Linked DNA regions of Alligator mississippiensis. The protein of the gene in region 2 interacts with the protein of the main gene of each other region in a pairwise test. Links are inferred from orthologs where the notes say so. Each region holds a gene or a part of one and is shown on either strand. Other genes may lie near its edges.

Region 1 (7,227 bases), on a different chromosome or scaffold from region 2:
TTCGTAGCACAATCCTCGAAGGGAGACGATCTATTCTTCCAGCGTCCCAAGAACAACAGGGGATGGTGTCAGCACACACGATTTTTCTTCTTGAAGCACCCACACTGCTGCTTTTTTTTTTTTTACAGATTTTTATACCGTCAGTTTAGCTGTTTCGAAGCATTCTCAACAGTGTAAATCATTGTCTTTTCTATTGACAAGGGGTTATCTGGTTTGGAACATCTCAAGAAACTGATTGATAATCAGGAAACACATGAGGTTAGGGAGTAAGCAGATACTTGGGAGCCAGCTTGAAATTCCTACGGATAGCAGATATACTGATGGGATATCTCATGGTTTCTTCAGAAACAATAGATAGCTTGCAGCATCAGGATTTTTGATTTTTACTTGTTGTGAACAAGCCTCAACTTAGCATGACTTTTCTAGATCTTACTATGGTCTTTTAACAGACTTAAGACAATTATTGGGGTGTTTATAACCTTTGGGCAGGAGGACTCCCACCAGTCATCCCGGGAAAAGTATGACAACACCTATGGTTAGGGCTCCAATGGGCTGGACGCTGCGATGAACCCCTTTACCATTGTTCAAATGTTGCCCATACCCCCTCTGACTCGGTCTCTTGCCTCAGCATTCCCTAACCTGGCAACTGAGTTTTAGTCAATCAAGTTTAAATAGGCCTCCCATAGTGGGACCGGGGAATGTACGGCCCGAGATGCCTATTAAACTTAGAGATGTATGTATGTCTGGGGGGGAAAGTCCTTTGTAAATCCACATTAGAACTGGTCTGATAAATGCTGAGCTGGGTGTGTGTGAACATGGGTTGATTAGCATTTGGAACACAGATTCCCCATCATACAGTGCTCCCCTGCTTCTCTGATCCCAGAATTCACTGCAGTCTCTGCTTCAGACTTTCTGTTTTCCATCTCTCATGTAAATGAATGGTCATCTGGTTCCATCTCAGATGCAAATGGGACCTAGGGCAGTTGTTTTACTCTTGTCACCCTTATCTGGAGGGTCTTAGGTGTGTGTCTCACTGCATCTTAATCAGTTTTGTTTGTGTAGAAGAGGGGAGGAGGGGTGAGTCCTTTGTGAGTCAGACAGGCTGTGTCATGTGCCAGGGTTGCCCAAGAACACAGAGCTGAGACGTAACAACACACAATGGCAGTAGGGGTTAAAGAGTCTTGATGCAGGGGCTGAAGTCCAGGAGGAGAGAGAGAGTCCAAGTTGTAGGAGGAAGTGTGAGGGTCATATCTAACTATCCCAGGCTGAAGGTTGGTCCTCAATGGCCAGTCGGGGTCTCCTTCAGCTTGGTGTTGTCCAGTTGCCGCCAGGACCTCTAGGGTGGATAGGCGGCATGATGTGGACTGGTCCGGATGGAAAATGGTGTTCCCACTGGGTCTATCTTCACTGCCCCCTTTTATAGGGGAAGACCTTCCATAACCCCAGTGGCAGGGGGCCTGCCCAGGCTAGGGCCAGCCCCTGGTGGACTGAGCATGTGCATTCTAGGTCAGGACATGCAGTTTCAGGTGTCTGTAATGGTGGCTTGGGTGGGATCTGCAGCAGTCTTTGTCTTTCAAATCTTGAGCCAGGGAGGGTCAATGCAGAGTGATGCTTGCATTGTGGAGTTGATGGTTCAGTCATTCATCTATTTTTAGACCTATTGCCATTATCTCTCAAGCACCCGTATTATCCCCATTCATCCAGGCACTGATTTACATAGGAGGGGTAGGTATGAGTCATAGGTTACAACATCAGGGGACACAAGACGGAGGCTTGACATTAGAAGATGGAAACTTGACATTACTTGACGTTACTTTACAGACACAGGCCTAAACCATACAGTATTAACAAAGAGACACTTAAGACACAATAACCATACAGTATAATACATTATAGTAATCCAACACACACAGTAAAGCACTATTACAATAGCTCATGGTTACTATAAAAGGGGACTTATGTACACAGGGTTTCAACTTAACTTATAACTACTCATGTGTATATATATATATATATATATATAAATATATATATATGTACACAAACACACACACACACACCCCTATAGGGAATAGAGGAGGGGAGAGAAAAAGGCAGAAATGATGGGGAAAAGGGGTGTCATATTTTTAAGTAAATAAAGAAAAAGAAAAAACCTGGGGGTTTTGTTACAATCCAAAATTCAATAGTAGGTACTGTCACCCTGTGGCCACTAAATTGACTGAAATTGATAAAACCACCAACAGCAGAACAACAAAGCTTTGGTCAGAGTTTAGAATTGGCTGCTCTAAGAACCTTTTTCAATTATTACCAGGCATCCCAATGACTTTGCATTCTGAATTAGTGATCAAACTCTTAAGAACAGGGTTAAATCAACCGTGCCCTTCTCTTTGGTAATCAGATAGGGTGATGACTTCTGGAGATAGTGAGGAGGTTTGGAACAGTAAAGGTTCTTAAAGAAGTAGGAAAAAAAAACCAACCACTAATTGAAACATTTACAAAAAACTCCATCACACTAAGACATATGGCAATTTCTGATGCAGGGCAGGAATGAAGAGATGAAGTTGGTACTGTGACCTTTGAAAAAGCATTGCAGGTGACTAGGTGTGACTTAGCCAGTACATAGGCCACCATACAGGATACTGAATGGAGAGTGAGCATTATATACCAAGAGGAAAAGCTGTCTGCAGAAATTTCAGAATAGGTATGTAAGAGGATGCTATCTCTCTCCTGACACCGTCTTACAGCTCTTTTTAAGTAGAAGCATTGCTCCATCCTATGAAGTCCCACTGACTTAAAGGACAGAAACTTGACAAGATTCTAGGTGTTGATACATGAGCAAAAATCCTAGTTTTGGAGAGGATACTATGGATGTTTTAGTGGTAGCAGTTAAGGTATATTACTGACTAAGCAGGGGAACATATAGAGTAAGTCCTAATGCTCAGTGGTTGAAAGTGACTCAGAGGATTATTATTTTGTGGTCAAATTGGTGGTGCAGAACTCAGGAAATTTGGGTTCATTTTCTGTTTTAATCTCTCTGATGTTGCACAAAGACTTTCAGGAAGTTATGACAATGACTTTGAATCATCTACATTTACTAATGCTTCAAGGGTTTGTGTCCCCACACCCAGCACTCCATGTGGACAGTAGTGGCTCTAGGGGAGGGAAAACTGGGTGACTGCCTGGGGCCCGCATTTTATACAGATAAAAATGAATTACATTAATTTGTTGTATTTTGCAATATTTATTGTAATATTGTAATTAATACTTGTATTATCAATATTGTTTTAAGATACTTTTATTGCAATTGCATGGACAGGGCAAAGTGAAATTGAAAATGTCTGACTTGCTTATAGGGCCATCAAACATGAGTCTCTAAGGGGCCCCAAATAACTCTTGTCCAGGGCCCCAACAACCCTAAGGTCACCACTGATGAGGCCTTGGGTCAGACTCCAAAGGATGCTTTGCAGCAGGCCAAGAAATTATAGGTATTTCCAGTGCCTGGACTGCACCTGAAAGCAGCTTTGATACCCTTGAGCAATGCCCCCAACTTCTAGGGAGGGACTGGCGCAAATGATGCTTTATCGGAGGACTTTCCCCTGCTTATACACGGGCATTGCTTGGCAATTCTGTACGGCCTTTTTTCCTGTGGAGAAAAAGGACCACAGACGAAAAGCAAGATGCTGTTGCATTCAGTGCTTCAACCCCACAGAGCAAAACAGAGACTTTGCCAAAAACAAGGCAAAGCAAATGCTGAGGTGTGGCAGGAGCTAAATCCCTCTAGCTCGGAGGGACGGGTGTTCAAAAAGAAGCTGCCCGGCGCTGCGGCACAGCACTAAGATTAAAAAAAAGTGCGGGAGGTTATGAACAAGCGGAGGCTGTTGGAGATCCCGCAGGGTCCCTTTGTGAGCTGAAAATGGCCAGGGCCTGGGGCCAGCTGGAGAAGGATGAGGCGACAGCAGCAGGTTTGGCACGAGTAGGGGGAGACCTAGGCTGGGGCTGGCAGAGACTGCGCTAGGTGGGCCCAGGCAGACGCGGAAAAGCCGTTGCAACCTCGCACACAGAGCGGCGCCCGGGCACGTCCTAGCCCCCACCCTGCCGGCCTCGCGCGGCCCCAGCGCCTGCGCAGTCACACGGCGTGACGTCAGTGTCAGCTGGGCGCGCCGGAGGTAGCCGAGTTCCGGGGTGTGCGCGGAGGAGGCCAACGGCAACGGCAACCACAACCCGCTTGGGACATTGGTCGCTGCGGGGCGTGGAGCCGGGACCCTCCACCTCTCCCCGGTGAGTGCAGCGCGGAGCGGCCGGGCTGCGGCGGCGGGGAGGGGGGGATCCTGGAGCCGCCCGGCCCGAGTGGTGTGCAGTGATGCCTGTGGGGCGTGCTGCTGCTCGCCACAGCCCTCGCTGCGGTCCACAGGTGCGGGTCACCCCGGCGCTGTCTGCTGCCCCGCGCTTCCCTCCCCTCGGCCGCCGGGAGGACATCGGCATCCCCTGCCCCGGGAGTTGTCTCATGCCGTTTAAACCTGGCTTATCCCTTGTGCCACCCGAGCTGCTGGGAAGGCCCTGGGCATGACTAGGGCGGCGCGGGGGAGCCGCCCCTGGCCAGGATAGTGCTGCAGGATCGGGGCTGGCTGCTAGGCCTGAAGGAAAGGCCCCAGTAGAGCTGCCGGGCTTGTTATCCCTCCTGGTTCCTGGCAGCAAAAGAGGGCTCCCCCCCCCCCCCCCCACTCTTTAACCAGACTTCCCTCCCCCAGCACCTGCTGGACGTTTGCGTTCTGGCAAACATACCTCCATGGGCTTGGGCTATGAAGCTTGGGCACCTGCCACCCTTCATATCACCTCTGGGGAGGTTGTGCTGTCTGTCTTCAGTGAAGGATACCAGGTTGAATGGGAGCCGGATGATCTATTGGAACCCAAGGCTCCAGTCTAGACAAATTGTGAAGGTGAGGGGGGGGGAGAACTCTGGACCATGTGTAGATATGGGAACCCCCAGCGCTTAGAAGAGCTCAGCTTTGCAGAAGTGACATAACTGCTTGTTAGCGCAGATCCTCCTACCATGGGAAAAGAACTGATGACATCTGACTTGGTAGTTAAAATGAATCAGGGGAAAGACCCCCCCCCCAAACAAACAAACAAAACAAACCCAACAAAAACAACAACCCAGGAGTGGACAAGGAGAAGTTTATGAAGCTGCTCTTTGTGGAAAAGGGAGATGAACTCTAATCACATATTTAACAAGTTCAGTTGCAATTAGCTTATTTCCAGGAGGATCCGCCTTTACGAAACAAAACTAAGTGCAATGGCTAGTTCACCAGAGCTGCATTTTGGGACTGAAGGATATTATTTAAAAAAAAATACTTCATCAATACTTCACCAGTACTTCATTATCCTCATAGTGAGAAAATTATCCCTAATATCCAATTTAAACTTCTCACTGCAACTTGAGACCATTGCTCCTTGCTCTATCATCTGCCCCCACTAAGAACACTCTAGCTCCATCCTCTTTAAAACCACCCTTCAGGACTTGAAGACTGCTATCAAATCCCCCCTTAGTCTTCTCTTCTGCAGACTAAATAAACTCAGTTCCCTCAGCCTCCCCTCAGAAATCGTGTGCCCCAGCCCCCTAACCATTTTTATTACCCTCCACTGGACTCTCTCCAATTCGTCCACGTCCTTTCTGTGGTGGGGACCCCAAACTGGACACAGTACTCCAGGACTGTGGCTTCACCAGTGCTGAATAGAGGGGAAGAATCACTTCCCTTAATCTGCTGGCAAAGTTCCTACTAATGTAGCCTAGCATGTTAGCTTTCATTGCAACAAGGACACATTTGGTGTGTATGCATGCATTTAAGGTATCTTACAGTGAGGTTTCTTACTCTCATGAGTAGGGATCCTGGTTTTCTCTGATTAAAAAAAAAAAAAAATCACTCCCCCCTCCCCTTCCACCACACCTGACTTATCACCTAGAGGCAGGCTGATATGTCTCCTTAAATATCGGCTATCGATATTGTCCCCCCAAAATCTCTGTCAGTGCACCCCTACCATTTACTTTATTTTTCCTCCCCTAAACCCATAGTCAGAAAACTTTTATCAATAATTCTGAAGTGTGATCAACAGGGCCGTCCACTTAATAAGACTGGCTTCTAAGTTAGGATATCGAGAGGTGATTTTTTGAGGAAAGCATATTAAGCAAATCAAAATTATTTATGGTGTTTTGAACTATTAGACTACAGAATTCTTTTTCTTAATAAAAAGATTATTATAGACAGCTCTAAGCATCTGAACACAAGATTCACATGACAATGAAGTCCCAGCAAAATTAAAACCTTCACTCAAGAAAAGGAGTTTAGCTAATTGGACTGTACCCCAGTGCTTTCCAAAAGTCCTATCAGATCACTGTCTCTTGCATACTGTCCAGAAGTTCACCAAAAATTAGGCTAGTTTGGACAAGGGGAAAAACAAGTTCCAGTATCCTGAGCCCCTCCTGCCAGATGAGAGGGTCTCTTGAGGCATTCAGCTTGGCCACTTTGTAGCTGTGCTATTTCAGCATGGGAGGAGAGGCAATCCTGTAGTCAGGCTGGTCTTAGACCATTTGCAGCTCTGCAGTCATTTTTCCTGTAATGTGACTGAGCAACAGTTGGGCATCCAGAATAACTTCTTATTTTCAAATTTTATTAACTAATGGTGGATTTATTCCTTCAGTTAAAGGAACTGATTCTTTTTGCTTCTGTCCCTGCTGTTATCACTTCAGACAGCTTGCTCAGATTGGGCATGTACAAGAACTAGGCTCTAACTGAGGTGCTATGGTCAGTGTCATCCATATACTGAATATGCCTTTTCCAGGTCTCCTCACTAACCATACTAATGGTTCTACATACACTCTTGAATGGATAATTTAGAAATAAATGTGTTATAGACTTTCTTATGAACAAATAAATATCTGCAAATGTGCTTCCACAAAAGAACTTCCATATTTATTTGAAACAATAAATAGTTTTTCTGCTGTTTAAAACCACAGCAAAGTGAACAACTTATATTTTAGATGTCACTGAAGTAACAGGTTTGGCTGCTTTTATAATAGTGCTTCTATCGGTGTTAAATGTCTAATGTACGCAAGGCTGAAAAGAAGAGATACCCCCCTCCCCCCCTTCATAAAATTTGGTGGCTGGCAAATCTGCCTTTAAATTATGAAAAGGATCTTAAAGTGGTCATGTGAAAGCACATTTTGAGTAT
Region 2 (8,173 bases):
GATCTGACCCACCAGTTTTACTCTGCTGTTTTATTTTACAAAAGCTTCTCTTACAGTGGTTCTCAATCTCTTTAGACTCAAGGCACCCTTTAGAAAATGGCAGCTCTTAAGTGTTTTGACTACAGAAAAATAATGGAACAGTTCTTCTGTTGCAAAGAAGTCTGCAAGACCATACATAAGAATGTTTTTGATAGGGGTGCACTGATAGAGATTTTTGGGGGTTAGCTGATACTGATCCAATTTCTGATACAGCTGCTGGTAAGTCTGTTGTGGTGGACGGGGAGGGGGGAGGGCAGATCAATAGCCCCTGTGGTGAGAGAGGGAGTGGGGCAGGGGCTGGGACAGGTGCTGCCTAGCCAGGGCAGGGAGCAGGACAGGGCCGTGGCTTGTCTGGGGGGCACGGAACAGCTCCTGCTGTTGTGCACACCCTGGGAGGGCATGGGGGGCATGCCCTGGATCTGTGCAGGGGGGGCTGCAGTTGTGGGCTGGGGCACCAGTTGCAGAGCCAGGGGAGCATGGGGGCCCATGGCTCCTTCCCCCCCAGGCAGACCTGGAAGCGGACCAGAAGTACTTCCGGTCCACTTCTGGATTTGCTGCCATGCATGTGGAGGGCCAGCCCGCACTCCTGTGGGACGCTCCATCCACCCCAGCATCGCAGCATTCACAAGCAGTGCTGGCACCTCAAGGTATGTAGAAAAAACTTTTAAAGCTGTGTCTATGGCTGAATCGCTGATTCTCTGAATCAGCATCGAATCTTCAGATTCAGATTCAACAGAATCAAATTGGGACAGTGATCTGAATCAATGAATCGAATCACTGTCCCTGATTTGGATCAAATCCGAATCAATTAGGGCCTGCTTTGCACACCCCTGTTAGTTTTGCTAGTAAAGGACATCCAAGATGCACAATGTGCCTTTCACAACATTTCAAGTGAGACAGTAGACAGGATGTGATTGTGAGGCAGCTATCAGCTGCTTTGCTTCCTGTCTTTAAATCACATTTCCTGTCTTTTGCTTCCATTTACATAAAGCAGCTGAATCTTGAACTCTCAGAAAAACCGCTGAGTTGAATTAATGCTGGAAAATGGTTATTTTTTCATTACATTTACTGAGCAATCAATCAGCTGCTATCATGTGTTAGCAATCACACCACCCTATTTTGGCCCCACCATCATATCTCTGTGCAACCCAACTACTGTCCTTTGCAGTTCTATACTCAGGCAGCCCATGCTCCTCTACTGTACCTGAAGTACTTTACCAAGAGAGAGAGCTCTTTGGTGCTTACTTTTGCTTCCACAGCAAGGATGGGTATCTCCTCCACTCTGCAGCATAATAATGCAGCAGGGAAAATGTTACTAAAAAGGGTCAGAACAGAAGGAAACCCCAGACAAGAATACAAAAGCTGAGGGGATACAGAACAAATATGGGGATCCAGATGCGGCTTAGACCAACTATGAGAACATAACAGAGTACTGGGGAGGAGGATGAAAGCCTAACTTCAGAAGGGGTAAGAGTCATAATTGCAGTGCTGGATTAAGAATTTTTAGGATTTTGGATCCAAAGAGCACGGCACCCAGAGATGACTGTCCTGACCACCACACATATTTTCCAATATTAACTATGTAACCAAATATGAAAAAGGCATACAAATAAGAAAGTGCTACATTTATCATATTTCAAATGACCTTTAAAAAAAATGTAGGCTGAAAAGCTCTTGTATGATGTTACTAAAGTCCAGTTGTCATACCAGTTGTGGTTCATTTACTCTAGGATATAAAGCATTTAGTTATCTCTGTTGCATTCTTGATTTAAGCTCATTTTTTATCCTAGCCATGTTCAAGAATGTATGCTTTCTTTCAGTTTGTGATAGGCAGTGTCAGAAAAATCTCCAGGGTGATGTCCACATTAGGGAATACTGATTGAAGGCCTCTCTGTCTTAGGTCTTCTAGCAGCTTGGCTGGAGATTCATTATGAAAACTTTCAAAGTTCAAGTTTTGCGGGTAAAGTGCAGCAAATGCAGCAGTACACTTGTGAATGCCAGGGATGTACACACCAACTGCTGAAACTTCCTTAGTCTGACAAAGGGTTTTTGAACCCGAAAGCTTGCTTAATAACTATTCTCCAACCATTTGGGTTGGTCTAATAAAAGATATCAAATCCACCCAAGGAACCTTGTCTGCCTATGTCCTTAGACCAACACGGCTAAAACCTACACCCCTGCAGGGATGTGCAATGGGCTGAGTTCAAACAGAACTCCAAAACTGTCAGTCAGCATCTTATAAGCATCATTATTACTGTGAAGACTAGTAGATTGTTAATTAAAAGACTGAATGTTTCCAAACAAAAACATGTTGTCTTCCTTGCAGTAAGGTCTCAGGCTGTCCTGATTTATCTTCACATTCTTTACTCTTTTACAGCACAACTCACTTTGATATTTTTGGGAGATGGCTTTGCATATGTTCATAGCAGTGTTTTCAAAACTGTCAAATTCTTCTTTTGGGGCAGCCACAAAATGATTGTACTGGCCACAGCAGGTGAGCTCCTGTACTAAGATAGCTATGTGTTCTTTGTAACTGTATGCTGGTCACTTTAAATTGCTGAAGCACTATGTCCCAAAATTGGAGAAGTCAGATCACAGCCTGGCTCTGCAACACTTCAACACATACCCCATTCATTACCATCTTCTTTGGTATAGGGTGACCACTTTTTCAAAATGGAAAGGCGGGAGGGACACATGCCTGCCTCTTCCTCAGACCCCACACCTCTGGAAGCAGTACAGCTGGAGCAGAGCGTGCAGCCTACATCTGCCCTTGCCCCATGCACAAACCTGGAGGTGAGGGGGGGCACTCCCTGGGAGTGTGCAGCAGCAGAGAGCTAGCCACCCTGGTTGAGCTACCTGTGGCTCTGTCTTGCTCCATGCCTCAGCCTCGGGCACTGCCCCAGCTGGGCAGTGCTCCCAACCCCTGCCCCATTCCTTCCCTCATTGCGGGGGCCTCGGTCTCTTATCCTCTACCTCCCTCTTATCCCCCCCCCCCCCCCCCATAGTGATACCTGCAGAGAGCTGCTCTCTGCACTGCTTGGTTGTATTCCTGGCCATGTGTATGTGTGCAGGCACACACATGTGTACATCCAACTCCCAGCAGCCTACTTTCCGCAGTTTTCCTTGGTGAATGGAAATCCCGGATCCCTGCACGACACTGTGAATCCAGGACAAATGCTGTCCCAGAGTCAAGTAGCCCAGGATCAGGACTTGATGTTCCCATTCTGAGACTGTCCTGCCCAATTAAGGATGGGTGGTCACCCTACTTTGGTATCATGGCCAGCTTCCTTGTTCAGTAAATACCCTGCTGGTTGCAGCTGTGTGCAAGTGTTTGCCGAGTACACTGCTCCTCCACCTGTGTGTAGTCACTGCATTATCTGTAAAGAACCTAGTACTGCTTTGCTATCTCAAGAGCAAACAGTGAGCTAAGACCAGATCACTCTGGAGCAACAGTTAGAGGAGGCTGTGCCCTGGTTCTAGTCCTTCTGGCGTTGAGCACTTGGTTTTCCTCGTCTCTGGCCATGAGCCCATTCTTCAGCTATGGACATTGCTAGTGTCTGCAAGCCCTACTAATTGTAGGGTGAGGGTTAGTGAACTTCTGCATGCCTCAAAAAACACTCCAGTACCCAGTCCGCTACCTTGCTGCTAAAAGTGGCAGCAGTCCGACTTACAGGGTTTGAATTACACTTTGACCCTTGGGAGGGAGGAGGGACTGCAAAAATAATTGGGCTGCCCCTCACAATACCCTAATGAAATTGGAACTCCTCCAGGTTATGTTTTCAAAACTTACAGGGGGGGATCATCTCTTATGTGGGGGCTAAGCCCCCCTGAAATTCAAACCCTGCCTACCGAGTTTTCACCAAACCCTGACCCATCAAAGATGCAGAGACCTAGCACGTTAACTACCTCCTACTTCTCTAACGTGGTCCTGGGTATGACCGTGAACTGCATCCGACTAGAGGGTTTGATAGCAATATGGTGGGACAGCTCCTACCAAATACCACAGTGTTGCAACATCCAGAGTAAGGTGAGTATAGGGCGCCTCAAAACCCTGGCCCTTGCTCCTGGGTTGGAGTCAGGCTATGGGACATCACCTGACAAAATGCACCCTCGCTGAGGGCCGAGGCAGTCGGTGGCTCTAACCCGTTTCCCTCTGGCAGCAGCTACGGCCATTGAGACACTGATTGTCTGGACGCAGCCTGGCCTTCAGACTCCGTCTCAATGGTCTGAAGGGGGATGGCTGGTCTGGGGCAGCCCCACCCTCTTGCCCAGGTGGACACATTGGAGGTCTCAGTGAGGGCTGCAGGACTTTTTTTTTTTTAAAGAAATTTTTCTAAGACAAATCAAGTCCAAATCCATGAGTCAGTCCAGAACTATAAGTGTCCCTACAACCGGCCGACATCCTCCATCCCCACCGGGGGCTTCAGATATTTCCAGTCTCTTGGCAGGTGTCCTACGTGCAGGCCCAAGCCCGGAGCCTGGATGCCCCCGGGTTCCGCCTGCCCTCAGCCACACGGCTGCAGGAGCAAGCTAGGGAGGAGCCACCCATTTCCATAAAGAGGGCTTTAACCCCAACCCCTCGGCGGGTCCTGAGCAGTGCTCCCGGGAGCGCCTCTGGCAGACGGCCGCCCCGGACCCAGACGCGCGCAGGGGCTGGCTCGCTCCCCCCGCCCCACGCCACAAGGAACCCGAGGCAGCGCCAAGGCGCCTGCGCAGCCCTTCTCGGGGCGGGGCTGCCTGCCTTTCCGGAGGGTGCCCTAGGAGAGAGCCAAGACAGCCTCGTCCCAACCCGACCCCTCCTGCCCGAAGTGACTCGTACAGCAGCTGCGGCGAAGGAGCCGGGCAGCCGGCGGGCCTAGGCGTGCAGCGAGCAGCAGCACAACGACCCGCTGCCAAGGCGAGGGCTCCGCCCCATGGCTCCTCCCGCCTGGCCCGGCCCCGTCCCTGTGACGTCACGGCGGAGGCCCCGCCCCGCGGCTTGTCGTCACGGCGCGGCCCCGCCCTCCGCAGTCCCCGGATGAGGCAGGGCTCGGAGCCGGGAGCGGTCGGGGCGATGGTGCTGTTGTGACAGAGGTGAGCGGCGGCTGGCTGGGACAGCTGTGGGTGGCGGCGCCCGAGCGCGGGGGGCGGCGGCCAAGGGGGCACCGGCGGGGGTCGGGGCGGGGGTCGGGGCGGAGGGGCTGGGGGGGGCGCGGGGCCCGCTCCTTAGCCCGCTGCGGATTGGATGTGAAGTGACAACGGGGCAGGGCCCGCCTCCTCTGCTCATTGGCGGGGAGCGGAGCCTGCGCGGGCGCGGATTGGGCGAGGCGCTGTCAGTCCCCGGTGCCCGGGTCGGCCCCGCCCTTTCTGCTTTCCCGGCGGGGCTGTGCTCCCCCCGGGGGAGGGGGGGGCGCCCCGCCGGGGCCTCCCCGCCTCGTGCCCTGCGTTGCCCCGCCACCGTCCCCGAGACCCGCAGCGCGCCCCGGGCCCGCCGCCCCTCTAGACAGGGGGCAGAGAAGGAGGCCTTCGGTGCCTCGGGTCGTAGCTTCTGCCAGAGAGCGACGGGGCTGTACCCAGGTAGCGAGGTTGCCTGGTAAAAAGACAGGCCCAGACCCTGCGTTGGGCTGGGCACCCGGAAAATCAGCTCTGTCCTTCGGACCTGAAACCCTGGGGGTGATATAGGACGCTGGCCTTTGCAGTCTCGTCACATGTGTTTGACTCACAGCCGGCGTGGTGCTGCCGTGGCAGGCGCACGGGCGCAGACAGGCTGTGGTCAAGCATCCAGGCAACAGTGGGCAAGCCCCGTCCTCGTGCTGCTCCACCGCGACTGACTGATGCAATAATGAACGTAACTCATCCTTTTCACATAGCACAGCAGTTAAAAAAAACCCAAACTCTATCCAGTGTGACTAGACTTTTCTAGCATGTTTGACATTTATGGCTGGTGAAGTGTTTCTGAGTCATGGCATTGCTTTTCCTTTTCTTTCCTCTTTTAAACTTGAGTTTATGAAACGTGTTGCTGGGTTTGCCATGGAATCTGTCTGTCCTTAATCTTCTGTGTTTAGGGAAAGGGAGGGGCCTGCAAAATGTTTGCTGTCAGATGGTTGCTAGGATACATAAATATATTCATGATGTCAAATGCATTTTCAGCAAATTATTAAAAATAATATTTTTGTTCCATCAGAGGAAAGAGCAGATTTAGGAGTTTAGCACACGCATCAAAAGAGTATTTACTAAAAGGGTATACGATGGTTCTGTTAGTGTCATAAATGTAGATCTTACAAATGAACTCATAGTCCTTGCTGCAGAGATTTTAAAGGAGAAGGTATAACAGATCCATTAGGGAGAGATCAGTCAGCACTTTGAAATTCTTTTGATAAACCATCTTCAGTCTTCTCCCCACCTACTCACATTGCTGTGTTCCAGCCACATCCTTTGAAGCAGGACTATTGCAGCCTGTCTGTTGACAAAGTTTCTTAATCAGGAGTTGCTACTATGTTGCTATTACAGTTTCTGCCCTTTCCTTCATGTCTTTGAAGCAGACTGTTTTCTTCGTTGCACATTGATATCTGCTCCCTGAGTGAGACATCTTTAATTGGATTGACACTTATAAAAGGGAAGTTTACATTATTGGCTATCAGCTTTTTTTGGCTGTTGTAGCCAATAATGTTCTTTGATAATTATGCCTCTGGATGCCTGGGTTTCCTTCTCTGGATACACCCATATCCCCTCACTGGTGGGCTGGGCTGGGCTGGGCTGGAGTGGAGCAGCTACTGCAGTGTCCTGGGTGCTGGTATGGTGCGGTGTGGACTGTGGGCTGGGGCCAGGACAGGTGCTGTAAAAGGTGCCGAATGCTGCAGATATGACTGGGACAGGGAGGGACGGGTAGAGTTGAGCTGCCTGGTCCAGCATGACCCAGTCCACATTTAGTATCTGTTATTGGATTGGTATTGGCTGATATGGCTGGTTAATAATTGGCTATCCAGTATTGGCCAAGAAAATCTTTATCGGTGCACCCCTAGTTTTAAATGCATTGAAATATCTCCGAGCAGAATGTTTTATATATTATAGGATTAATTTCCTACAGCTGTAATTGCAGGGTTTTGTTTTTTTTTTTGGATCTTTTAATTCAACGCAATCTAATGGTCACAAACTGTTAAGAACTTGATCTTGTTTAATAAAAATACAGAATTCACATTTTGTAAGTGTGACGTTTACAGGCTTGACATCTATGAAATGTTTGCTCTTAATGGTTTAGTTTACATTAGTATTGAAAACTATGGGATGGTCCAGCTTGTCTAAAATGAAAGTTTTATCTATCTAATCAAGTTTATCTGACAGTAAATGGAGTGTGAGCATCTTGAGAAAAAGATTGTGATTTTAAGCAGGAAATCATAGAAGTCGGGTCGGAAGGGACCTTGTAGATCTTCAGGTCCGACCCCCTGCCTGGGCAGGAGGAAAACTGGGCTCAGTTGACCCCAGTCAGGTAGGCATCAAGCCGCTTCTTAAAGACCCCCAGGGTAGGAGCCAGCACCACTTCCCTTGGAAGTTGGCTCCAGATCCTAGCTGCCCTAACTGTGAAGTAGTTCTTACGGATGTCTAACCTAAACCTACTCTCCAACAACTTGTGGCCGTTATTCCTTGTTATCCCGGGGGGCACTAGGGGAAACAAGGTCTCCCCCAAACCCTTCTGGTCCCCCCTAGTGAGTTTATAAATGGTCACCAGGCCCCACTTCAACCTTCTCTTGTGAAGGCTGAACAGGTTCAGGTCCTGTAGCCTCTCATTGTAGGGTCTGCCCTGCTGTCCCCGGATCATGCGGGTGGCCCTCCTTTGGACCTTCTCAATGTTGTCCACATCCCTCTTGAAGTGGGGTGCCCAGAACTGGACACAGTACTCCAGCTGCGGCCTGACCAGTGTCGCGTAGAGGGGGAGGATCACCTCCTTGGACCTACTTGAGATGCACCTGTGGATGCACGATAAGGTCCGGTTAGCCCTGCTGACCGTGACCTCGCATTGTCGGCCCATGTTCATCTTGGAGTCAATGATGACTCCAAGATCCCTTTCTGCCTCCGTTTTCTTAAGGAGGGACTTTCCCATCTTATAAGTGTGCTGCTGGTTACTACTGCCCAAGTGCAGCACCCTGCACTTGTCAGT
Region 3 (7,319 bases), on a different chromosome or scaffold from region 2:
AAAAGTCAGCCCTAGACTACTGTTGCTCTCAGCACAGATGTAATCGCCGCTCTTCAACTTAATCCATGTGTGTACAAACCACGATGTCTAGTTCTTCCCTTTGAAATCTAAGGATAGTATTCCCATCCAAGAAATCAGAGCTAGAGCAAATTACATTTTGTCCCTTGAATTAGAAAAGGATCATTGAATGGATCTCGTGATATTTCAGCCTTTAAACGTAACCGAGAGGCAGCAGTGAACAATGCCTCGTCACAGCTAATACCATCCACAGAGTTAGCCTTCTTTTGCTCTGCATCTGGATCTATCAGCGTACATTTTTCTTTCTCGCTCGCACAAGAGACATCATGTTATATTCTATAGCTGAAAGCAAAGTTTCGAGGGAAAACAGCTGCTGGTGTTAAAAAGAAATCATCGTAGTCTTCCTAGAGCTAGAGACAATAAGGTCGTTTAAAAATTCCTCCTGATGCACTTATATGCTGCTGGCACCCCCACCCCCTCCCCGCGGCTCTCCTCCCCCTGCTTTAAGGTTAAGGCTATGGAGTCAAACAGTAAAGAAACCGTAAACTCCGAGAAAGCTTTTAAGAAGACATTACAGAAAAAAAGGTGGGCTCACAAGTCATTACTTTGCCAGGTAGTTCGGTTGTCCTCGACTCATGTTTAAATCCAAACACTCTCTTTTACTCCAGATGATAGTCTGGCAATGGGATCCAGGAACTATTTAAAAAATGCATGCTTTTTGTTTGTTTAATACAGGCGCTATCAAATGTTTTAAACTTAGTAGCGGCTTTTTGCCAAACCTATCTTTTCAGAAAGGTACAGCCATGAGCTTCTGGGGTTAGCCAGAGCCAAATGTTGATAGAGGAAAAAAAAGCTAGAAGTCTTTAGGAAATGTTATACATATATACACACATGTACACAATATCGTTACACACACACACACACAAAATGTACACAATATACTCACACACACTCACACACACACAGTTTCAGTTGCAGGGCTTTCTCCACATCACACACAGACGCTTTTGTTTCTTTAACTTCTCCATCATTTTGTTGTGCAAAATGAACCAGGCAGCTTTCATGGGGCCATCAGCACACGTTGTATATCCGGGGTCTTCTTCAGGCACATTGGGGGTAGATCCTGCTAGCGAGATGTGACGGAGGCCCCTGGCACACGCACGCACGCACACACCCATTAAAGGCAGGGGACTCTAAAATGGATTTCCACGCACACAAGGGATTGCGATCAATAGCTACCAACATTTATGGCTTAGATTATTAATGTGAAAGCAGGGCAAAAGAATGAAAATGAAAAATTAAAGGTGTCTGTTATCAATTACAGTAAAAGTTATGCAATAATTTACTTACTTGGTGTGTGTGTATGTGTGTGTGTGTGTGCGCGCGCGCGCGCGTGTGTAGATCCAGCTGTATATATTGCTATCTCTCAAAAGCAAGGTAGTGTCTGGCAATTTTGTTGACCGTGTCAGCCTCACTTAAAATCAACGATGAACACGATTAAAAAGATGGATGTTTGTCTCACATTTCTTTAGTACAGAACGTCTATAGTGCCCATTTTGCTAAACACATATACACACGCAACTATATATAGTTGCGTGTGTATACACACGCACACACACGGAGGCTATCAATCAAATGTGCTCCTTTTCACGATGAGTAGCGTGCAATCTGCAATCTACACCCTCTCGTAGGTAGTATTTAAGTTTGCCAACTGGCTGGCCGAAGAATAAACCTCTGTAGAAAATAATATGAATAATATGCTGCTGTGGACCTATTCCTACTTACAACAGATTCCATACTTTGATGTTTGTAAACTCGTGTTAAAAGATCCAGGTTTGCAGTAAACGTGTAACTATATCGCTTCACAAAAAGAAGACGTATATATAACGTTTAAAATCCTTTTTGATGTGTTCTGATTTATTTTCATTTTATGATGATGTTTAAATACCACTGCGATTCAGCCTGACCTCTTCCTTCTGGAGCTAAGTAATGCACACACCATTTACAGTCTTTTAAACGTTTAGTTGGGAAATGCAACAGCAATATCCAGCAGCAGTTGGACTAATGGAAAGACTTCTTTTGAAAACCTTCAGGAAAACCTACGGGGTCATGTGCATTTTCACACTAGGATTGCCACATTATTAGAGTATTATTATTTATTATTATTTGTTAAGTGCCAGACTGTATCTTCAGGTATTGACAAGCATTAAATAAACCTTTTCCTTTCATGAGCCATGATGTAGAAATATATAATTTAAATGAGAAGTATATTTTCTAACCTTAGCACTGTTTTAGATATCACTATGCATATTTTCTTCAAAGAGGCTACAGACAGAAAACAGTGCGAGGCTATCACAAAGAGTCCAGTAAAGTAAATATAATAGGGTCAAAGAACACTATAATAGGGTCCTTCTGCTATTTTAAAGCCGGCCCAGTGTGACTGTAGTGCTTAAAACTTGTTGTAAATTCTAAGTTAGCAAAAATAAGAAGGTATAACTAAATTAGTCAAATATGTGGAAGATAAATCCCAGCTGACAGTCCAAAAATCATAGCATAATTTATCTAGCATCATCACGCCTGTGAGTTATTTCTTTGTAAACAAAGCAAGGAGGTATTGTTGCACGTTTTTAAGTTTTATTTTCTACATGGCTGTACTACTTATGCACCAGAACGTTGTACGGTGCATAAAAAGCACAAAATAACAGTCTTACTTGATGTTGATAGTCTTGGCTGTTTTAAAATACAGGTTTTTAACAGGAGTTTTTGGACACATACTGCATGCCATGTTGTCTACTGACCCATAATCAAAATGCACTGACCTTCTACCCTTTTTTTGCCCCTTGACCCATCCTGAATTCAATGCAGCCTTTATAAATTTGCAAATCCTTGGACGTAAAGGGGATTTGGTGAGGCTTTGTTCTGGAAGGATCCTAAAAGTTTGCGTTTTTTAATTAGACAAAGGTAAGGCAACAAACAGAGGGGAATAAGATTATTTCTTACACGCAGGTGCTCTGTATTCATTTTTATATTCAAGGACTGTATCCTGGAAAAACAGATTCTGCAAGCTGAAAAGCAATTGCAAACATAGGAGATCAGAAGGTTATGGATTGCACCAAATTAGCAATGTGGTACAAATCACTTTCATGACGTAAGGGATGGCCAGGCCACAATCTTCCGGCGTTCCTCATCTCCAAGGACTGTGTGGATCCTGGTGACCCAGGGAGAGGAGAGAGCGAGCGAGCGATTTGATCTGAAGCCACAGGCACATTCCCTTATCTCTTCTGCTATCAGTCAGTTTAAAGGACACCATAATTATGATGGTGATAAAACAATGCCCGCTTATGTGTGCTGAATAAATAAAGAATGTTTACAGCTCCAGAATGTTTCAATTCCAATTAAACGCTATCAAAGAAAAGCCACTCCCCCGCCCCTATTTACCTTGTTTATTGTCATATTTTCTTATGAAATAGAAGAGCCTTCCGGAATGGTATTAAGGTTAAGTTGGGGGGGGGGGGCGGTTAGATAACACATACTCCCAGTTCCCCAATTACTTGGATCACCTACATGTTGTATTTGTTTATTTTTAATGGCTACATGCCTGGAGATGCAATGGTAAAAGGCGCGAAAGTACCCAACTCCAACCACAGCCTGGAGGAGTTGGGCTGAATTAATGCAGCGCCCTTGGGCGTTAGAGAAAGGGGTCTGTGATCTTATGGTTCCGACTTCCTGACCAGAACCCAGCCAAGCCTCTGAAAGGGCCCAGAGGAACTTAGTCTCCAATTAGCTCCTGTTTCCCTTGCATCTTGGATCCTTGGAAACAGGAGCCTGAAAATTTATCCCAGTTACTAAGACACAAGGATCATTTCAAATATTCATCGTATCAGCAAATCTGGTCATAATCAAATTAAAGCAAGGTTTGGGGGAGTACTGCCTGTATGGCTGGGTACTAGACCCAGAGAGGACTACAAAGAAATAAGAAAAAAGGGGTGCTTTTAAGTGGCTTAGAAGCATATTGCAAAACGCAAAACAATATTTCTGCCATGGAAGAGACACTTTGTAAACCCACGATTCTGTGTGATACTGCAGAGACCCCCTCCCCCCCCCCCCCAGCTGCCATGGTAATTTCAACTTTATATCCAATATTTCTGCACGATGCCCTTGTTTATTTTTTAAAGCCCAAGATATTACAGGCTGTGGTATATCGTGATGTAGACTGTGCCTTTACACCAAATTGTCTCTTAGCACTTTTTGCCTAAAGGAACACCACCGCTAAATTTAAACTTAAAAAAATTTAAATATCCCAGGAGAAATGCTGATTTCTGTTTACTCGAACCAGAATGTAGTGGCAAAGGCGACTGTATTTGCAGAGTTGCTGCAGAGTTGTAGGCCCTTTTCCTTTTGAAAGTTTAGACCTCCAATACCCTCGATTCTACTGGCAGAATTAGGATGGACTTGGAGGGTCCTAAACGTGACCATTCACTAAGGCGGGGGGCTACAGCTTGCAACAACGTGCTCGGCAACTTAATCTTACACTAAAAAGGGCAGAGAGCGAAAAAGAATGGAATACAAACTCTCCCGACATTTGTAGTCGCTTCCAAGGTGGATTGTGTATTTTAAAGCTGATGGGAACGTCTGGTTTTTGGAGCAAAAAGGAGAGAAGGTAAGTGTTTGTGCTTGTATCCGTCAGTTCGTAGAGAAACAATGAAAGAACAAAGGGAACCACTTCTCCATTTGGACATTTTACATTTTCTTCCTCCATTTGCAGCTGATTGTGCAGGGCTGGGGCTGGACTCGCTTAACTTTGCCTCTAGGAGCTGGGTGGCAGGGCTTGGGTTTAAGAAATAATGAGAAAGTTACTGAGCAATTTAAATAAAAACATGTTTACTGGGAGGGAGAGTCCCAGCAGCCGCGCTGCTCCAGAAGTTGTTCATCATTTCAGGGGGAGCCAAAACTCCCCACGTAGCCCTCCCTCCCTCCCCTCCCCTCCCCGAGAGAAGTGGAGCGGAGCTCGCGGCAGTCTGGATCGGACCTTTCCCTAGAATTTCAGGGATCCCCAAAGCCAGGACTATTGTTTCCGGCGCTCAAAAAAAATTAGTAAAGACTGAATGAAAACGCGTCCCCAGTAATGAGCTCCGGCGTTCACCCGCAAGGAGGGAAGAAAGGAAGCAGGGGCGCAAAAATAAACATTCGCGCAATTATTTGCAAATCAAATAAATTGCAGCGAGGTGGGGGTGGGGGTGTGTGTGGAGGAGGGGGGGTGAGAGGGCAAACAAACAGCCCTCTCTGAAAAAAACACGTTTCCCCGGTCCGGGGGGCTGCGAGCCCCGGGGCCGGGCAGCAGCACAAAGAGCTGCCACGTTGGGTGGGGCCGCGCTGGAGACAAGCCCCGTTCCCCCCAGCCCGAGGCAGCCCCGCACCCTGCAGTCCCTCTCGTGGGGAGGGAGACGCATGCTTGGTGTTTATCTTCCTCCCGGGGATGCGGGAAGCCGCCCCCACCCCGCTCGTTGCCAGGCAAATGCAAGGCTTTGTCGGTGGGTGTTGCCCCGCACGGCCGGGCCAGGAGCCCCCCGCATGGGCGCCCGCAGAACAATGTGCGGCCGCCGCTTCCCCTCACGTGGGCACCCAGCGCGGGGCTCCCGGCTGCTGACCTTTCACCCTCTCCCCTCTCCTCCCCTCCCCTCCTCCCGCTGCTTCCTTTTGCCGCCCGGGCACTTTCTTACCCACAATTCCCCGCGCCGGCCGCGCTCGTGCCGAGCTCGAGCCTCCCGCTACCCCCTCCCCTCCGGCTCGGGGCCCCTTGTAGCGCCCGGGCCAGCGGGCACCCAGGAAGTGGCAGCCGGCCCCGACACCGGGCAGGCTCCCGGGAGGGTGTGCGCTGGGGGTGGGATCTCCTCCTGGCCCCGCAGGGCTGGGGGCCTGAGCCGGCGCGGAGGAGCTGGGCGTGCACACGTGGGCTTGGCAGCGTGTGAAGCATCGTGGCCCCGAGCCGTGCGGAGCGGAGCAGAGCAGACGTGTTGGAGCGCGTGTGATGGCATCTGGGGGGGGGCTCGGGGCAGCCCCCGCGGGCGGGACCCGGCTCCGCGCCCCTCCCCGGAGCCCCTCAGACTCGGGCAAGACGGGGCTGCAGGGTCCGGGCCGCGGGGGCGGGGAGCGCAGCCAGAGCCCCCAGGCGCTTGTGCTGTAGGAAACAATGCGGGAGAAAAACAAGTTTCAGCGCAAAAAAAAGGGGGTCCAGATGACTTTTAAAACAGGACGGAGCCGGTCGCCGCACCTGGAGAGCCCATGTTGCTAAGTACTAGATTTAAATAACAAGTGGAGGGAGAGACTTTTTGACCCTTCCAGACTATAGCAGAAGAGGAGTTGAGGCCAGAGAGAGGGGCGTTGCTCAAATCAATTGAGAGGCATTATAGACTTACAGATATGTGTTTGGGCAAGGCAGGAGAGGATTTGCCTGTTGAATATTCTTGGCAAACGTTAATCTCTCGTGTGTTTTAAAAGTACCGTGTCAGGGGCTTTTAAGGAAATCGGTGAAAAATCAAATGTGGCATTAATCAAAACACCCAAATGTAAACATGTACGAGTTAAACCCTAACGTTATGCAATTATTTAAATCGAGTCCCGGTTTTCCTGACTGCGACCCCTCACCCCTCTGCGAGTAGCTTTGAGATCCCCCCCCCCCCCCACAAAATCCTCACGTCTTACTTTTCAATCGGTTCATATTTTTGGCCTGCCAGCTATGAACAGGGCTTTGGTGGTAGAAGCAGGTTTTCAGGGACAAAAATATGCGGCAAGGTGAAAAGGCTTCAAAATACAGTGATTTCTAACCCTAGCCTTTAATTAAAAAAAAAATTAAAAGCTCGTCTGTTTTGCTACATTTCAATAATCAGCTGCTTGAGTAGTAAGCGCTGCTTTGGGTCCCGTTTTTCGGGTTTTGTGGTAAATGCTTGATCTACATACAAATTTGAAGCGAGGAAGAGGCTGATTAAAAATATAATTACAAGTCAGTGAGCCCCTCCCCCCCCCAAAATCCACCGGGCATGGAAAAAAGCCGAGCTGGAGTGAAGGGTGTTGATTAATAAGCAGAAATCCTGGGAAAAAACAGTCGTTGCAGGTTTCACAGAAATAACACTTGGTTGCAGGCCAGGCTGCGGATGCAGCACCTAGTGGTCCGAGCTGCGGGGGGGGGGGAGGGCCCCGGCCTGCAGCGAGGAGGGGCGGTGGAGCGGCCCCAGCGCCGGGATCCCCTGGGTCTGGGCGGCTGCGGCGAGGGGAGAGCGGGCCAGGAGGGTGCAGGCAGGCGG
Region 4 (7,505 bases), on a different chromosome or scaffold from region 2:
AGGGTTTTTGAACCCGAAAGCTTGCTTAATAACTTTTCTCCAACTATTTGGGTTGCTCTAATAAAAGATATCTAATTCACCCAAGAAATCTTGTCTGCCTATGTCCTTAGACCAACACATCTACAACCTAAACCCCTGCAAACTATTTCATTTGTGTTTTATACCCTGCACTGGCTACCAGGTCACTTCCACATGAGTTTCAAAGTGCTGTAGGGTTTGTCCTTTTTTCCTTTTTAATCTAAAGATATATATTTTTGGTAGAATACTTAAATTGTGCAAAGAGATTTAGCTGTCTGTCCCAAAGGAGATGCTGTAAGAATCAGAAAAAAGTCTGTTTCAGTAGCTAATTTTTGGTTCTAGATTTCAATCCAGCCAGTAGAGAGAGATCAAATAAGTGTTTTGAGACGGATATTACACTTGATCTGAGCCTTCAAGAGGCCCACACACACACACACACACACACACACACACAATCTCTGTTTTTTATTCTGAATTTGCATTTTTAGTTCTTTCTTCTAAGACACTTTTCATGAAGATGCACTTTTTAAATACAAAATGGAGATTGTCCTTTGCACTTATAGCTCACAGATCAGGAAGACCTATAAAAACAGGCTTTTCATCTCCCAAAAGTTTGCCCTGCCTCTTAGAAATCCAAGTGATCCCAAGTATAGCCCATTTCAGACCTTCATGAAAAACACAGCTTTTTGTTCTGTTTGCAAATGGTGGGCATTATAAGCTCCCTGTATTTTTTTTTCTGTGAAGATGGCCAGTGTTTATTCATTTCAGTTGCTTTGGGTATTTTGCTTATTTGCACAGGGAAACATTAAGTACAGCCTATTTCCTCAGAAGTGTTTACACTAAGTTAAGCCATGTAAAGGTTTGTCCAGTGAGAGAAGCTTTAGAAATACTTGCATTAATATCAGTAATAGACAGTAAAGACAGTACTAAAACTCATTTAATTTGGTTTCCTACTACCTTTATTAAAACATCTCAAGCTGGTTTACAATTTTTTTTTATTAGCTTTACAATTTCCTTGTGAGGTAGAAAAAGATTATCACAGGCAATGCTCATTTTCAGCAACACCTGGTAAGAGCAGCAACTCCTTACTAGCAACATTTCCCCTGACATTCCCTTAAACAACACCAGTCAGCTAGAAGCAAGTAGCACCAGGCCACTGACATACTGCTTTTAACAGGCATCAGTGGTATCCTCATGTTGCATATAATGAAACTGAAGCCTCATCTTCACTACTAAAATGTATCTTTTTACCTCTGGGTAAAAACATGCATGAAATATCCCAATGGAAGAACACAATGAAAAAAAGCACTTGTACTGTGAGGTAAACTCACCTAGGTCAACCCTACGCCACCATCTCTGTGAGTTCATTTCTTGGAAAATCTGTCTTCATTGTATTAGTTATCCTGGAGTAAAAACACAGCTATTCTTGCAGCAAAGGCAAACTCTGAAGCTTCAAGACTCTCAACAATGTTACCTAGGAAACCTGTGTAAGGGCTTTCATTAGGGAAGTGATTCTTCCATTCTATTTGGCTTTGGTAAGGCTGCACCTCATGTACCATGTCCAGTTTGGGAACCCACACTTTTAAGAAAGTTGTGAACAGATTGGAAAGAGTCCAGTAGAGGGCAACAAAAATTATTAGGGGCTTAGAAAGCATGACATGAAGAAAGGCTGAAAGATCTATGGTTATTTAATCTGGAGAAGAGAAGACAGAGGGGTGGGTTGTTAACAGCCTGAAGGCCAGTTACAGGGTGGATGGAGACAGACTATTCTCTGTGGCCATAAGGGACAGGGCTAGGAACAATGACCTCAAGAGCAGCAGAGGAATTTTAGATTGGATATTAGAAGGAATTTTTTGCTAAATAGAGTAGTTCTGGAATCTCCATCAGTGGCAATTTTCAAAAGTAGGCTGGAGAGACACTTGGCTGGGATGGTTTAGTCAGGCATGATCCTGCCTTGAGCAGGGGTCTGGATTAGATGACTTCACAAGGTCTTATCCAGTCCAGTCCTACAACCCTATGAACCCAGGTTACCTGATGCCCAGTAACTCAGGTCATTGAAAGCCATGGTTGACAAGGTTGGGTTGGAGGTAGGCCAGTGCTTCCAACATGGCCCTTGCTGCTAAATGCAGTGCAAGCAAAGCCCCAGTGTTGCCACTTCTTCCTGCTGTACAGTTGTAATACAGTGTGGGCAACCCCCATCACCCAACTGTGGTGTGGGCAAAGACCCCTTCCACCTCAACTATGCAGTCTAGACACAAGTCTCCACAGGGCAGATCTACATGTTGCTAACCTTTGGTGGTGAGAACTACAGAAGCCATTTCATCAGCAGCAAATGCGGATGGGGACAAGATGATAGCCACCCAGGTTACACATCTTCCACAAGGCCCCTTCAGACCCAGATACTCTGATTCTAGAAGCAGTTCAGTCTGAATCACGTTTGGCATGCGAGAGAAGTGGGTTGTGAGGGATTTTCAAGGGAGTTGAGATTCATAGGCCGTTGATCACACCCAATGCTAATAAGGGGACCCTAGGAAAAAACAATGGTCATAGACCATGACTCAGTTTCCCTGCTCCCTAGTGAATTAGCCAAGAGATCCTTATTTCATAGGAATGGGCAGGAATACACAAATCTGAACCTAAACTGTATAACCCCACCACACACAAAGGCTGAGGGGTGGAAGTCTGAAATGTGTGTCAAACCCTGAGGACAAATTCTGAGGGTCCTGAGACCTTGCCACTGGTAGTGAGTATGTTTGTTTATTCTCTGCTGTATGGGGTTGTTCTTGTTAATACTGCCTGATTGATAACATCCCAAGAAACCAGTGTATGGCTTGAAGAACTTGCTTTGGCTTCTCTTGCACTTCTCTGGATAAAATCCCCCAGAGACATCCTGGATGCAACAGGGAATGAAAATGAGGCTGTAATAGAACGAGCCCTTGTCCTTATGGTGTAAGCCTATTTATTTACCCAGCATGTCAAAATAACAAGGTTCTTGAACTCAAGTTGCTGTGTTCTTACAAGTGGCAGGGCTAGGGTGGAGACAGGGACAGGAGTCACACTGCTCTACAGTACAGCCTAGGTGGACCCAAGGCACCAGGCAGATCCTACCATGACAGAATGACTCTCAAATCCAGAGGCACATAAAGACCATGGAGAACAAGCCATTGCACAGGAAAGCCAGCAATTCGGCTACATACAAAAAGCTCAAGGCAGATTCAATCTGTTGTGCAATTTTCTGTAAGTCTCATGACTTTTGAGGAGAGGCTGAGGGAGAAGAGAAGACTGAAAGGTGATTAAATAGCAGCCTTCAACTACCTGAAGGGGGGTTAGAAAGAGGGTGGTGGCAGATGACAGAACAAGGAGCAATGGTCTCAAGTTGCAGCAAGGGAAGTTTAGGTTGGACATTAGGAAGAATTTTCTCACCAGGAGGGTAGTAAAATGCTGGAACAAGTTACCCAGAGAGGTGGTGGAACCTCCATCCTTGGAGGTTTTCAATACCTGGCTAGACAAAGCCTTGGCCGGGATGATCTAGTTAGGGACGGTCCTGCTTTGAGCAGGGGGGTGGTTAGATGACCTCTTGGTCACCTAGTCCAACCCTCGTTTTCTACGATTCTAGAGATCGGCAGTGAACAGCACACACAATTGCCCGTGGGGGTGATGCGCAAATCCTACACTGGGTTCTGCCATTTTTAAATCAGTCTGTGCATGCTGAACTGTTCTGTTACAGGTACTGGCCGGTTTTCAAACACTTATATCTATACCAGGCCTTTGGGGTGCCAAAAGGCCAGGCACCAAGGGGGAAGACTGGCTGCCCCCAGGGGGCCCTTGCCCACCCCTTGGCATCAGCAGAGAACACGAAAGCCTGCAAGAGCCATGCTGTGGAGACCACGACCGACCGACCCGGGTCACCTGCGGGCTAATGAGAGCGGATGATTTGTGTTAGCACCGTTGGAGGTGGGGGGGTGGGGAAGGGGCTGTGGGGGCCTCATGATACAGAGGCCAGGGCCGGGAAGAGCTACCCTCGCGGGGGCGCTGCCACAGGAACAAGCAAGAGGCGGGCCCCTCTCAGGGCCTCGGGGCACGGCAAGCCCCATGCTCCCCGGCGGGCGCCCAAGGCGCTGCAGCTCCGCTGGGTGGGGGCGGGACAGGATAGGGCAGGGCCCTCGCCAGGCCACAGCCTCCTGTCACTGCCGCTCTCGCGCCGCAGCCCCGGCGAGGCAAGGGGAGGACCAGCCTCAGCAGTTTTTAACCCTTTCGGGGTCAGCGCTGCGAACGCCAAAGCGGAGACGCTCCCGGAGCCGCAAGACCCGCCTCGCAGCGGCGGGAACCACGGATTGGCTGCGGAGCCTGCCCGTCAGGCTGGTGGGCGGGGTGGCGGTCCGGGCTCGCGTGACCCGTCATCGCCGCGCGCCGGCAGCGGGAGGCGGGGCCCGGCCCTGGCCTTAGCCTGCTGTTATGGCGGCCGTGGTGGAGCTCAGTGACTGTCCTGCCTATGCCTGCGACTCGGAGGTTGGCGCCGGCCCGACGGCTGGGGAGGCGTTGAGCGGTGCCCTGCGCTCCCTGGCCGAGTTGGCGGGGCAGGTCTGTGCGGGGCCGGGCCGGGCAAGTCTCGCTGGCTGCGCACCCTCCCCCTTCTCGCAGCGCCCGGCGGGGCCAGGGGGCGCTCCCCGCTGGGGTTCCCCGGGCTCGGGTCGCCGCTTCGCGCCTCCCCGGGGCGGGGCGGGGCCCTTCCGGGGTCGGTCACTTGGTTGTCTGGTCGTGGGCGCCCTGACTATGGGCCGGCGCCCGCCCCTTCCTCGGGCTCATGCCGCCCGCGAGCGTGTTCGTGGGGGCCCCGCGAAGCTCCCTTAAGGCAGCGCTTCTCATCCTTTTCTGTGTCAGGGCCCATTTGTAAACATCGGTGGCCAGTCCTGACCCGTTGCCCCCAGGCTCCAGCCCCCCCCCAGTGTGTGGAGCAGAGGCAGAGCAACTCCTCGCAGGCTGGAGCTCTGCCAGCCTGCGAGGGGAAAGCCATGGTTTCCCACGTTTTTCTCCTTTGAAGGAGAATCCTTTTTTAAAGTTTGTTCCTGACCCTTTTTCTATATTCTTGTGACCCACTTTTGGGTCACAACCCATGGGTTGAAAAATGGTGCTTTAAGGGACTGGGGGAGCCCTGGTCAGGATGTTGTGGCTCCTGGAGAGGCAGGCTCGCTCGGTGCTCCTGGTGCCTTGCAGCCTGAGCTTCCCCAGTTCTTGTTTGTGAATTTTGCAGGGTCCCAGGATTGTAAGCAATGACTTAAGAGTGAGTGGAAAGAATGGGAAACGTGTGCAGCTTGGTGGCTGTTTTCTGTAGAACTCAGTAGCCTCAGATATAAGTTTGCTCAGTTGTCTGCTGGTCTAACTCGCTGCAGTCTGACAATACCTTTTTTTTTTTGTTTTTGGTAGTTGCACAGGCCGTACTGGTCAAGTGAAGCAGGTATGACAGCTGCTTCATATCGCTCAGGCCCGTAAACATCTTGGCTCTCCAATACTGAGGGACTGCAGCATTAAGGACCTGAAAATCTAAAGATTAAAGCCCACATTCTTTCAGTTTTCCTATCTATAAAATGAATAAGAACACTTGCCTACCTTTCCAACTGGAATTTTGTGAAGATTAGTTAGCATTTTGCTATTAGACATGCCTCCCAACATCTGTACTAATTCTTTGTTAATTAAAGGAACTGAGTGGAGTGAAGAATTCCTCTTTTCTGGCCATCACAATGTGTCTCCTATTCTGAAATCACTTTTTTCTTCTTGTACTATACAGTGCAACCAAAATATCAAATCTTTAAACTTATGTGAAAAACAAAAGATCAGCCACATTCCTAAAGATGACACAATCTGTCCACCGGCTTAAAAGAGAGATCCCAACTATGCAGTTAGTCTAGTAAAAGATGTAATCAGAAATCCCTTGCTTTTTGTCTATTTTCTGGATCACCATGGCTACAGCCACAGTCTAAATTAGCTGCAAGGCTATTAACCGTTTTAAAAACAGTAGTTTCTATTACTGCTTTTAGTGTTTCACAAGTTATTCAAAGCCTGGCCATGTTGGTGCTGCATCTAGGTTCAGAATCCTAGTGTTTTCACTATGGAGAAGTGAGTGAGGGGGCTTAACAGAATTTAGCCACAGCAATTTTATTTCACAACAAGGTGGTTCTAGTCTAAAACACAGTCTACTGTTGGGACACATAGGGATATCTTTTGTGATGGAGTGGCTTACTCGTACTGTAAACTGCTGCAAAATAGACCATCAGCCAATGAAAGTGTAGCAGCTGCAATAACTAGTATCAAACACAAACATTATAGTCCACTTATCACACTATACAAAGACATTGTGTAAGGCTAGCACACTAGTATATACAAAAGTGTGGATTAATAGGGTTTAGCTTTGCTATAGGGATTATTCTTTACTTGTAATTTGAAAGCTGCTTGAATAAGCATGCCTCTTTAGCTTTTTAAACTGCTAATCTCCAAGTTATTCCCATTCAGAAACCTTGCTAAATTTTCATATGTTGAAATATCTATATAGAAGCCCGAATGAAATGTATAGTTGTTACTTTATTCTCAGCAAAAAAGATTCTCTGGGGAACTTTGAGGGAAGCATGTTTTTAATCTGTTAAATGCAAATCTCTGCCTCCACTGACAGGATAACAAAAATCATGAGTAGTTTTCAAAACACTGTGTCCTTTTTGTGGAGTGGGGGAGATAGAACAGCTCAGGCTGTGTGCACATGTAGGTATGTGATTGGTAATGCTGGCTTAGAGAAATAAGTAAAACTTCATTTTCTTGAGTAAATGAGGTATTCTAACATTAGCCTAGGGTCTAAAAACATGTTTTCCCCCCACTTGCTATCCAGGGTTTAGATTGAGCATTGAAAAGAGGAAAACCTCTTGCTTGAGAGAGATTTATGATATGTATTATATGAATGTGAACAAAAAGATTGAAAGTTTAGCCTATGTTATGTGTTTTTAGTAGTTTGGTAAATAGAAAAAAGTTGTATAAACTTGCTATTTAGGTCACTAGTTTTTCTGCCTTCATAAGAATTGCTAACCCCATCTGCTTTCCTGCAGATTGACTTGGGGCCTGATTTTAAACTTAATCCAGCCGTTCTCCCTGCATAAAGAATGGAGGATCAGGCTCCTTTCCAGATAGGAGTAGTATTAAGACAGTTCCAGTGCTTACCCAGTCATTTTAGTATTTTAATTGCTTTGCCTCCAAACTACTGCTAGCAGTCCTGTATATTTACTTTATTTACATTTGAATCTCTTTCTGTATAGTGTGCTTTTAGATTTTTTTCTTGCATATTTTAACCTTCAAATGTCTGCCCCCTTTAAAAAATATATTTTGAAGTCATCAAGAAGTAAATACATACCCATAATATTTGGTGCCATTAGACCAGTGTTTCCCAACCTTTTCCAGCCCAAGGCACACTTACAGTAATAAACATTTTCCATGTCACACCTGTTGAG

The links.
Region 1: the proteins of NDEL1 (region 2) and CCSER2 interact in binary tests that used the Homo sapiens proteins (3 or more experiments, as listed by UniProt). The link is inferred for Alligator mississippiensis from reciprocal best matches to the Homo sapiens genes NDEL1 and CCSER2.
Region 3: the proteins of NDEL1 (region 2) and MLLT10 interact in a two-hybrid assay, tested with the Homo sapiens proteins (2 studies listed by BioGRID and IntAct). The link is inferred for Alligator mississippiensis from reciprocal best matches to the Homo sapiens genes NDEL1 and MLLT10.
Region 4: the proteins of NDEL1 (region 2) and MBIP interact in binary tests that used the Homo sapiens proteins (3 or more experiments, as listed by UniProt). The two-hybrid records come from large-scale screens. The link is inferred for Alligator mississippiensis from reciprocal best matches to the Homo sapiens genes NDEL1 and MBIP.

Annotation. Positions count from the first base shown.
Region 1 is NC_081829.1:45,685,234-45,692,460, reverse strand, and holds the start of CCSER2 (serine-rich coiled-coil domain-containing protein 2), read left to right. Parts: upstream 1-4,135; 5' UTR 4,136-4,278; intron 4,279-7,227. UniProt on the Homo sapiens protein: Microtubule-binding protein which might play a role in microtubule bundling.
Region 2 is NC_081831.1:21,681,275-21,689,447, reverse strand, and holds the start of NDEL1 (nuclear distribution protein nudE-like 1), read left to right. Parts: upstream 1-4,975; 5' UTR 4,976-5,112; intron 5,113-8,173. UniProt on the Homo sapiens protein: Required for organization of the cellular microtubule array and microtubule anchoring at the centrosome. May regulate microtubule organization at least in part by targeting the microtubule severing protein KATNA1 to the centrosome.
Region 3 is NC_081828.1:185,212,843-185,220,161, forward strand, and holds the start of MLLT10 (protein AF-10), read left to right. Parts: upstream 1-4,286; 5' UTR 4,287-4,678; intron 4,679-7,319. UniProt on the Homo sapiens protein: Probably involved in transcriptional regulation. In vitro or as fusion protein with KMT2A/MLL1 has transactivation activity. Binds to cruciform DNA.
Region 4 is NC_081825.1:257,639,627-257,647,131, reverse strand, and holds the start of MBIP (MAP3K12-binding inhibitory protein 1), read left to right. Parts: upstream 1-4,431; 5' UTR 4,432-4,473; coding exon 4,474-4,599; intron 4,600-7,505. UniProt on the Homo sapiens protein: Inhibits the MAP3K12 activity to induce the activation of the JNK/SAPK pathway. Component of the ATAC complex, a complex with histone acetyltransferase activity on histones H3 and H4.